Linked DNA regions of Bombyx mori. The protein of the gene in region 2 purifies or fractionates together with the protein of the main gene of each other region. This does not show direct contact. Links are inferred from orthologs where the notes say so. Each region holds a gene or a part of one and is shown on either strand. Other genes may lie near its edges.

Region 1 (2,744 bases), on a different chromosome or scaffold from region 2:
AGTACTTATTTCATTAGAAAAATTGTTACCCGCCTGAGATTGAACACCGGTGCATTACTCAACACAAATGCACTGGACGTCTTATCCTTTAGGCCACAACGACTTCGTAGTGTTAGTAACTATCTACAGGTTGAGCCAGTGAGCTCATTTAATGTTCATTGAGTAGCTTGAAGCCCATAAGCTCAGACGAGGTCCTTAGCCAACAATGAATATTTTGCTAAAATTATCTGAGTTGGTGCAAATTTTAAACTCATTGTTCTGTTTTAATGCTGATACATGTTATACAAGAAACTTGTAATGTAAAAAATCATCTAAGCAATCACCTAGCACAAAATAGGATTCCCTGTACTGTGAGAATTGGAAACTGATGTACACATACATACATAGTTAAGTCTAAATAAATGCAAAGAGCCAAAAAACTTATTGATCACACAAATATCTGAAAGAACAAGTTGTGTTCCTTTTTCATACATAATTGGGGACTATTTACAATTTCAGAGGGGAGTTGGCTTGGTAGCTTCTGCAGGGGGACCTGAGAAACCTCGTTCAGTAACTACAACAAGTGGAAAAGTGACATTAGAGGACTTGGAGGGGCCAGGAAGTATTAATGGAGTTCCCGCTTTGGAATTCAATATTGATACTATAGAAGATAAACCTTGGAATAAGCCGGGTGCTGATATATCAGGTTAATATTGTAATGAATTGATGTGAAATCCATCTGTCTTGTATGGTTATAAAAATAATCAATTACTACAGTCTTGTCCAATCCATTTTCGATTCACAGATTATTTCAATTATGGTTTCAATGAAGTAACATGGAGTGCTTATTGTGAGCGGCAGCGACGAATGCGAATCAACGAAACAGGTGTGGGAATGCATATGGGATCGGTTCCCCGTCCACCAATGCCAGACATGAGGCGCCCCCCAAGTAAGATTAATACATTCTTAACTTATTTAATAATATTTAATAGTATGTAATATAAAATGTTCATTTAATTTTTAAATTGTAATTTTGTTCATTTAATTTGTAACCCAAAAATCACTTTACGTATAAAAGTATATCGACGCTTGAAAGGCAAACGTGACTAAGCGACAATAACTGCTTTATACATAAATGATAGGCAATAATCATATTCGATGCGCAAAATATATATTTCTATGTCTATTAAAATTATTTCAATCCTACAGCTAGATTCATTAAAATATAATTTTTTTCGGGTATTTTTCAGGTATATTTTAAATTAATTTCTACTTTAAATTAGTCTTCTGTAAAGTTCACGCATTGTCGCTTAGTCACGTTTGCCTTTCAAGCGTCGACATGAAGATACTACTCACGTAAAACTACTGCAATGAACGTCAGCTACTAGTAAACCATATGCCCACTGGCCATTTGCTTGTTGAACAGTTTGATATGCAGAATTCAGATATTTTTATAAATTTTCTGTTTTACAGACATTAGACACGATGATGGAATACCACCTCCCATGACAAATAACTATCAGTCCAGAGAAAACACTATTCAGGTACAAATATGTTATTTAATTGAAATCGATGGGTGAAAAGCTATTACGCTTAAGCGACATTTCACTTATTACGCGAAATTTATCTTTCTAATGGTGCGTTTTATTAAGGATTAGTGTTAACAGTTCAATGTTTTTAATTGAACTTCAATTAAGTTGACTCCATTCAAATAACTGAAGAAGCGTTCTTGTTATGATATTTTTTCAAATATTAAGTTTTAAATGGCTCTTCTGTATTTTTTTATTGCCGTATAGGCAGACCAGCATAGGACCCATCCGATGGTGAGTGGTTACCGTCGCTCATGGATGTCAGCAATGCCAGGGGCAGAGCCAAGCCGATGCCTATCTAAAGTTGCAAAATTTATCGCTTAATAGTCTTTCACCCCTCTAAATATTTTAATAAAATACGAAGAATTTTATCCCATAATGCATAATGACCTACTTAAATGATAAAACCTAATGATCTCTCAACACTAGTCCACAACATCTGTTCACGACTTAACCTAACCAAATCTATTTTAAAGAGGGGAGAAACTGGAAATCGGTAAGGTCTTTGAACCTAGTAAACACTTCAGCTCTTTCAATGAAATAATTTTTTTTATTAATATTATAACAATACATTGTATTTTGTGGTTTAGGTGATGACAGCGGAGCGACGTGAGTACGGGCGCGGCCACCCCCGCGAGATGCCGCCGCCGGAGTTCTTCTCTGGGCCGCCCACTGACTACTACCAGCCCCCGCACGCTACATATGACGAGCCATGGGGTACATATACTTATACTTTTACTAGCGACCCGCCCTCGCTTCGCTTCGGAAGTTGTAATTTATTATTGATTTCTCCACTATTTAATGGATGTTATTATACATATAAAACTTTCTCTTCAATCACTCTATCTATTAAAAAAAAACCGCATTAAAATCCGTTGCGTAGTTTTAAAGATTTAAGCATACATAGGAACAGATATAGGGACAGAGAAAGCGACTTTGTTTTATACTATGTAGTGATTGGAAATTATTAGTAGAGTTCAACATAATATGCTCGGCTAGGTGATCCCAACTTTGTATTACGTTTCTGCTTGCAAATGCTTTTAAAATGACTTAAATGACAGAGTTAAAAAATGTTTTCGTTTTAGTGGAGTTTTGATATCGATGTTATTCCGTCAAACGCTGTAAGTGATCAATCGTTTACTAACGACATAAAGTGTGGCGCGTTGGTGGGATCAC
Region 2 (3,662 bases):
CGCGGCGAGCTGCGCCTGCACCCGCTGCACGCCGACCGACCGCCCGTGCACACGTTCGCGCCCTTCAACAACACCAATTGTCCGCAGGGCTTCCTGTACTTTAACGCCGAGGTCAGTTCAGGGACTCGCGCAACAATGATAGCCAAGCACTAAGGTGCGCGTGAATGAAGTGAAACTTCTCGTTCGATGTGTACTATTTTGGTTTTTTTTTTCATTTTTCATCCTTAAATCAGATTGCTCTTGGGAACGCTGTGTATAAGAGTTGCGGCAACTTCAACATTTATATTATATATTTACTTAATACTTCATTAAAATATTGGCCGCTACTCGTTGCTGACACTCGCGCTGGCCTGTAACAGGTATACTGAGCGCGTGCGCTCGAGTGCCACGCGTTCACTCTCGCTCTGTCTCTTTCTGTTTCATGGTAGCGTTAAACGTTTAACGCAACCTTTGTTGGAAGTCTTATTAGAAGTGTCACTTCAAAAAATATATCATAAATTGTCACTGGCAAGGACTAAGTTAAGTGGTTACCGGAGCCCTTAGACATCTACAACGTAAATACCGCCATCCACCTTGAAACATGAGTTCTAAGTCTCAGTTTTGCAGTACAACAGCTGCCATACCCCTCAAATCGAAACGCATTACTGCTTCACGGTAGAAATAGGTAGTGGTACCTACCCGTGCGGACTCACAATCGTCCTACCTACTATGCGTCTAAAGAAGTTTCACTTCAAAAACAATTAAAGTTAACGGGGCAATCCTGTAACATCTTTACACATTCTTTGTATAAAATATACATCAATCAAAGGACGCAATGTATACAGCTTCTTACTCATCCATGTAATAAATAAAAATCTGAGTGTTTATGTTTTACTGGTGGTAGGGCGTCTGGTGAGTTCGCATGGGTAGGTACCCCCACCCTTTCTGCCGTGAAGCAGTAATGCGTTTAAATTTGAAGGGTGGGGCAGCCCTTGTAACTGCACTAAAACCTTAGAACTTATTCTCAAGGTGGGTGGCGCACTTACGTCGTAGATGTCTATGGGCTCCAGTAACCGCTTAACACCAGGTGGGCTGTGAGCTCGTCCACCCATTAAAGCAATAAAAAAAAATCACTAAACAATTTAGTTGTGTTATATGAACTCTCCTCCAACGCCCCTGCCCCTCTCCCGCCTCGCAGTCGTCGCTCCGCATCTGCGCGCTGCCGTCGCACCTGTCGTACGACGCGGCGTGGGCGGTGCGCAAGGTGCCCATCCGCATGACGCCGCACTACGTCACGTTCCACCTGGAGTCCAGGACCTACTGCCTCGTGGCCTCCACCTCGCAGCCCACCACGGTCTACTACAAGTTCAACGGCGAGGACAAGGAGAAGTCTGCCGAGAACAAAGGGGACAGGTATGCGGTGCTTCAGATCGGGCAGCCTTTCTTATCTCCTACCTGTGCTGCTTCGCCCTAACGTGTAGGTGAGCTCACGGGGCTCAAACCGGAGTGTTTGTTGCTAATGTGGCGGGTAGCCATCATACAACGCAAGATATTCGACAGATGCCTGAATCTCGCTCACGACATTTTCAAGATAAGTTTGCATATATACAAATTTCAAACAACAACATCCGGACCGTCGGTCTATCGAGCAATATTACCCGCTCGGTGGAAGATCTTCCCTTTGTCGTTTAAGCCTCTCACACTGGAGTTTGGGGATGTTGGGGATCCCAAATGTCTTAAGTATATGTAAAATTTTGTCATTAGTAAATAATTGTAAATCGACTTTTATAGTATGAGGTAGCGCCCTCTGTGAATTGATATTTTAACTTCACGTATAATCCTAAATTAAAATTCACTACAAGTGGTTTCATACACACGTTAGTTAAAAAAATCTCATAGATGGCACTGTATTAAAAAAAAACACTACGGACTTATTTTTTCGTTTCATCAACGATTCTAAAGAAGTTTCACTTCGAAGTACAAAATAAATAAATAAATATTTACTAACAATCACGCCACGTTAACTGGTCCCGTGATAAGTTCGTAAAGAACTTGTGTTACAGGTACCGGATAACGGATATAAATGTAAGATTTTTATTATACACATATTTAATATACATCCATAACCCTGGAAAAGACATTTATATTTATCATACAAATATCTTCCCTTGGCGGGATTCGAACCCGCGACCCCCTTGTGTAGTGACCATGTCACTTACCACTACACCAGACGGCCGTTTGAAAATGAACACGTTTCCTGTCGACACGCTCCAAGCGAAGAGCTCGTCTCATCAATGTTACGATTCCAGGTTCCCGTACCCGATGCTGGATCGCTTCTCGGTGATGCTGTTCTCCCCCGTCTCCTGGGAGATCATACCGAACACCAAGATCGAGCTGGACGAGTGGGAGCACGTGACGTGTCTCAAGAACGTGTCGCTGTCGTACGAAGGAACCAGGTAAACGTTTTGCTGCACAACAGTAAGGCTAGAGTGTAAGTAGGCAGCGGCTTGGCTCTGCCCCTGGCATTGCTGAAGTCCATGGGCGACGGTAACCACTCACCATCAGATGGGCCGTATGCTCGTCTGCCTACAAGGGCAATAAAAAATTCGCTTGTCTGAAAAGTCGGTTTACTGACGATAGTTGAACGTGACAACGTCATAAGACAATACTGATGGAATGGTTTCATTTTTCAAAAGAACAGATGTCGAACGCTGCCGAACGCGGAGGCCGATTGTGCGTCTTTGTCGTTCGTTGCGCGCTCTCGCTTGCACTTCAAGCCTTAAATGGAACGTCTCAGAGCGAGGTAACGCCGCATGAGTCATGTTTTTCGTGCGTGCAGCCGGTTCCATCGAATTATAAGACGTTGTCACGTCAAAAAAAAGTGCTCATCTATATATTAATACGTGAAGCAAAAACTTTGTACCCCTTTTCACGAAAATTGCGCGACGGACAAGTATGAAATCTTTATTCATTGAAATTCAATTTGACATCTGATCTGATTCAATTTCAATTTCATTGAACATTGTTTTTTTTTTAAATTATGCATATAATATACATGAGGTCAATAAAAAAAAAAGCATTAGACACACTACCATGTACTTGACACAGACACGCATAAATACTCTTTTGTTTATTGCTTAAGTCTGTGGTCAAATTGAGAATAGATTAATATTGTTTGTCTATAGTGTAGTCTTAGCGAAATTTGTGATTATAAAAGTATAATAGTCTTTGACAATAGAACCATTAGAAGAAGACAATAGAATAATTTCGACTACTGGGGGACCCTTTAATATATAAATTATATAATATAAAAATGATTTCTGCTGTTCGTTAGTCTCGCTAAAGCTCGAGAACGGCTGGACCGATTTGGCTAATTTTGAGTCTTGAATTATTTGTGAAAGTCCAGAGAAGGTTTAAAAGGTAGATAAATTTTACGTTTATTTTATACAAAAGTTTCTTTTACTTATCGATGGAGGCACTACGAAGTCTGCCGGGTTAGCTTGTATAAAATTAATAAGTAAAAAAAGAATTCGATTTATAAAGTTTATATAGAACTCTTATCACAAAGCGACACAACGATCGTAGTGTACATCTTTGTTTTTCTCTTGTTCTAGATCCGGTCTCCGCGGTTACATAGCGATAGGAACTAATTATAATTACAGCGAGGATATCACTTCTAGGGG
Region 3 (3,662 bases), on a different chromosome or scaffold from region 2:
TAGTCCACAAACGCCAGACATAGTGGCAGATTATACTCTTCAGTCTTCTGTATAATCTGCCGAACTGTGTGAATGTGGTCCACGGTACCAAATCCTCTTCGGAATCCTGCCTGCTCCGGAGGCTGGAAGTCGTCAAGTCTCTGAGCGAGACGATTCGTTATGACTCTCGAAAACAATTTGTAGACGTGGCTCAGGAGCGAGATGGGGCGATAATTCTTTAAAAGTGTTTTATCTCCTTTTTTAAAGAAAAGGACAACTATGCTCCTGCTCCACGCCTTTGGAGTTCTACCGGTAAAGAGGACAGTGTTAAAGAGCTTCTGGAGCTCCATAATAACAGGAAGACCTCCTGCTTTCAAGAGCTCAGAAGTAACACCATCCTCGCCCGGGGCTTTTCCGTTTTTAAGATTTTCAAGAGCCATCCCGATCTCGTCCACACTAATCTGTGGCAGCTCGTCGGTGTAGTGGCGAGATAGTGTGGCTCGGACATCTGCTGGGTCAGAGGCAGACTTGGTGGTTTTGGAAATATAGAGACGTCCGTAGAAGTCCTCAATTTCCTTGAGAATCTCCGGTTTGGAGGCGAGAATTTGGCCATCCCTTGTGGTCAGTTTTGTAAGGTGGCTTCTACCAAGACGCTGCACGAACACCTTGGCTCCTCGGTTTTGCTCAATTGCGTCATTGATCCGCTGAGTATTGTACCGTCGGAGATCGCGTCGTATCAGCGTCCTGATTTTCTTACTAAGAGCCATCTTCTCTGATTGTGTGGCCTGTGTGTTTTCTCGCCTTTCTTCCATTAACCGGAGAGTCTCGGATGATAATTTTGATTTTCTGCCTGTACGACCCTTTGGACACAATCTCTGTCCCTCTTGTCTCAGTGTCCTCACCACGCCATCTAAGGCCTCGTCTACGTCTGTGGTGGTTTCCAAGGCAGCGAATCGGTTGTGGAGATCTAGCTGGAATTGCTCCGGATCTACAGCCATGTGATGTAGGCTGGGTCGAAGCGTAGACTTTATTAGACGGCTGCGTTCTAACTTGAAGTCCATATTCAGTGTGCCTCTGACAAGTCGGTGATCACTACCGGTATTGAACCTGCTGATCACAGAGACATCCCTGAATATATGTTTCTTGTCCGTCATAATAAAGTCTATCTCGTTTTTCGTCACAGTGTCGGGGCTTAGCCAAGTCCACTTTCTTTGTGGCTTCTTTTCAAAGAACGAGTTCATTAGAAAGAGCCTCTCGCGCTGAAGGAAGTTGACTAGCATTTGCCCCCTGTGGTTCCTACATCCATAACCGAAGGATCCTAGCACCGATTCGTCGCAAGTCTGTACTCCAACTTTAGCGTTAAAATCTCCCATGACAACATTGAAGTGGGCTTTTGTGGTATTGTGCAGAGCCCTGGTGATATCGTCGTACACAAACTCCACATCGTCATCCGAGTATGACGAAGTCGGTGCGTATACTTGCACCACCTTAAGGGAGTACCTTTCGGTGAGCTTAATTATGAGGTACGCTACCCGTGTCGACACACTGGATACCTCTACAATGTTGCCCGTGAGGACTTTATTGACGAGAAAGCCAACTCCACCTTGTCCAGGTTGGTCTCCTTCCCGGAAGTAATAAATATTAGTAAGTTAATAAGTTACTTACAAACATGACAGACCAACGATGTCACATATTTGTGTGCCCGAGGTGGTCTCATCAAACACAATTCCTCTAGCAACTCCAAAGCCAGCAGAGCCACCTGATCTTCAGTGACCAAGTGCTTCAAATAATCCAGGGCCTCGTCCGTGATCACCGGACTCTCCAAATATATCTTCCTTAGTAAAACATCTTTGCATCCTTCCATGACAGGGTCGCCTCTCTCGGATATCTGGGTGACCAGAGCACAGAGCAACTGGTTGTAGTTTTGATCGTGCTTCTCGTGCAGTTTCGGTTGTAGGGTCACCGGATGTCGGTTAAAGCCCTGCATGAATGCGTATTCTTCATATAACCACTTCAAAGCGAGGTTGATGCGCTCGGCGGGATTGTCTAAAATGTAATTCAGTACTAGATCGCGCGTTTCCGGCGTGTAACTCGAAGCGAATATCGTGATGAATTTGGCCCGGATCTGTTCGGCTCCACCGATAGCGGCGTCTTTTTCCGCATTTAAAATCCTCTCAACGGCCTGCAGTATCAACTTTTGCTTTATTTCTTTTGGGATGGGCCGTGTTATTTCCTGTAGTTTCAATAGCTTCACTTTCTGTTTCAGTTTAGGCACCGTCGGAGTAGGTGGAGGAACCGGTTTCTCTTTCTCCTTTGCTTTCCTCTCTTCCTCCTTCAAATGTTCCTGTCTCGTTTCTTCCATTAGTTTAGAAACCGCACTCTCTATCTGCCTGTCTTTTGTTGACTCTTGTAATTTAGCTACAGCATTTTTGAGGGTAGTTTTCTCATCATCTTCCCTTATTAACGGTATTTTCGCAGCTATATCGGATAAGCTCTGTTGTAATACTGTCTGGTTAGGTTGTGTATCTACCTCCATTGATTGTGTAACTATTTGTGTATTTTCTGATTCACCTCTTATTAAGCTCATCAACATTTTAGCCAAGTTCTTCTTTTGTACTTTGCTACCAGAGTTAGGTATTGGCTTGTAATCATTTGTGAACGAGGGCGGCATGTTATCTGGTAGACAATTCTGCAATGTTTTCATGACAAGATTAACAACATTGTCCACAGAATTTAAGCCTTCGAGGATACTGTCTTCTGTTGCCGAAGGCTTCGTGATGCTTGACTGGCTGTCATCGTCATACATGAATTCACTACGGCTGTTACTGTCGCTACCTTGACTATTACTTTGAGGTGAATCGATTCTGAACCGTTTAGATGGTGTATCCCCATTCCTAATTTCCCCTAAGCGTTTGTTTCTTTTCTCTTTCGGTACCGCCTTATTAATCTCTTGTGCTGTCATTCCGATATCAATTAGCAATTGTGTCAACTGCGGCATCATCTCATTAGAAGTTGATTGTTTTATTAAATTCAATATCTGCATTTTGAGATGTTTCCTGACTGAATTGACTTGAGACTGCGATAGAGTTGGAGGTAGTGTCGTGTGAAGATCGCCTAGTGCTTGTATGACTCGGGGCAAGTATTTAGGACGGAATTTTGCTAAAGAACATAGCGTTGTCATACAAGCCATCAGGTTTACACTTGATATGTGCTGTGAATTATGAAATTTGACCAGTAGTTTGAAGATATGGCTGAAAAATAAGGTTTATAAAATAAAATTAAGCTAACATTATAATTTTTTATTTAATATTTTTGGGTCTGCAATAAAAAGTAGCTATTGAATGGTAAACAATCTCACACCTAATCTGGTGTCATTATAGACATAATTTGAATGCTGATGAGCCCTACCGCACTAAACGACTCCCCTGCACTCTTACCGCCCGGGGTCAGAACCCGGTCAGAGTAGGGGCGGTCCCGTGGTCAACAAAATGCTGATGACCCACCTTAAGATATGAGGTCAAAATGTGGGACTCAATGGTATCGTATGATGGCTATCTCGCTTAATAGAACTTGAGACTGTTTTGCCACAAAAAATATACATGTAATATACCTGTAGGGACTAACAAAACGCCTTACTACTCTGAATTAAGCAAATTACGGAGTTTATATTTTAAACACAATGT

What was found.
Region 1: the proteins of cleavage and polyadenylation specificity factor subunit 1 (region 2) and pre-mRNA 3'-end-processing factor FIP1 fractionate together in Homo sapiens (co-fractionation; 8 studies listed by BioGRID and IntAct, with this or other methods). This does not show direct contact. The link is inferred for Bombyx mori from reciprocal best matches to the Homo sapiens genes CPSF1 and FIP1L1.
Region 3: the proteins of cleavage and polyadenylation specificity factor subunit 1 (region 2) and symplekin fractionate together in Homo sapiens (co-fractionation; 5 studies listed by BioGRID and IntAct, with this or other methods). This does not show direct contact. The link is inferred for Bombyx mori from reciprocal best matches to the Homo sapiens genes CPSF1 and SYMPK.

The regions. Positions count from the first base shown.
Region 1 is NC_085121.1:13,339,931-13,342,674, reverse strand, and holds part of pre-mRNA 3'-end-processing factor FIP1, read left to right. Parts: intron 1-498; coding exon 499-685; intron 686-784; coding exon 785-928; intron 929-1,452; coding exon 1,453-1,523; intron 1,524-2,158; coding exon 2,159-2,285; intron 2,286-2,744.
Region 2 is NC_085134.1:8,450,159-8,453,820, reverse strand, and holds part of cleavage and polyadenylation specificity factor subunit 1, read left to right. Parts: coding exon 1-111; intron 112-1,177; coding exon 1,178-1,392; intron 1,393-2,288; coding exon 2,289-2,435; intron 2,436-3,593; coding exon 3,594-3,662. UniProt on the Homo sapiens protein: Component of the cleavage and polyadenylation specificity factor (CPSF) complex that plays a key role in pre-mRNA 3'-end formation, recognizing the AAUAAA signal sequence and interacting with poly(A) polymerase and other factors to bring about cleavage and poly(A) addition.
Region 3 is NC_085124.1:2,856,351-2,860,012, forward strand, and holds part of symplekin, read right to left. Parts: intron 3,231-3,662; coding exon 1,645-3,230; intron 1-1,644. UniProt on the Homo sapiens protein: Scaffold protein that functions as a component of a multimolecular complex involved in histone mRNA 3'-end processing. Specific component of the tight junction (TJ) plaque, but might not be an exclusively junctional component. May have a house-keeping rule.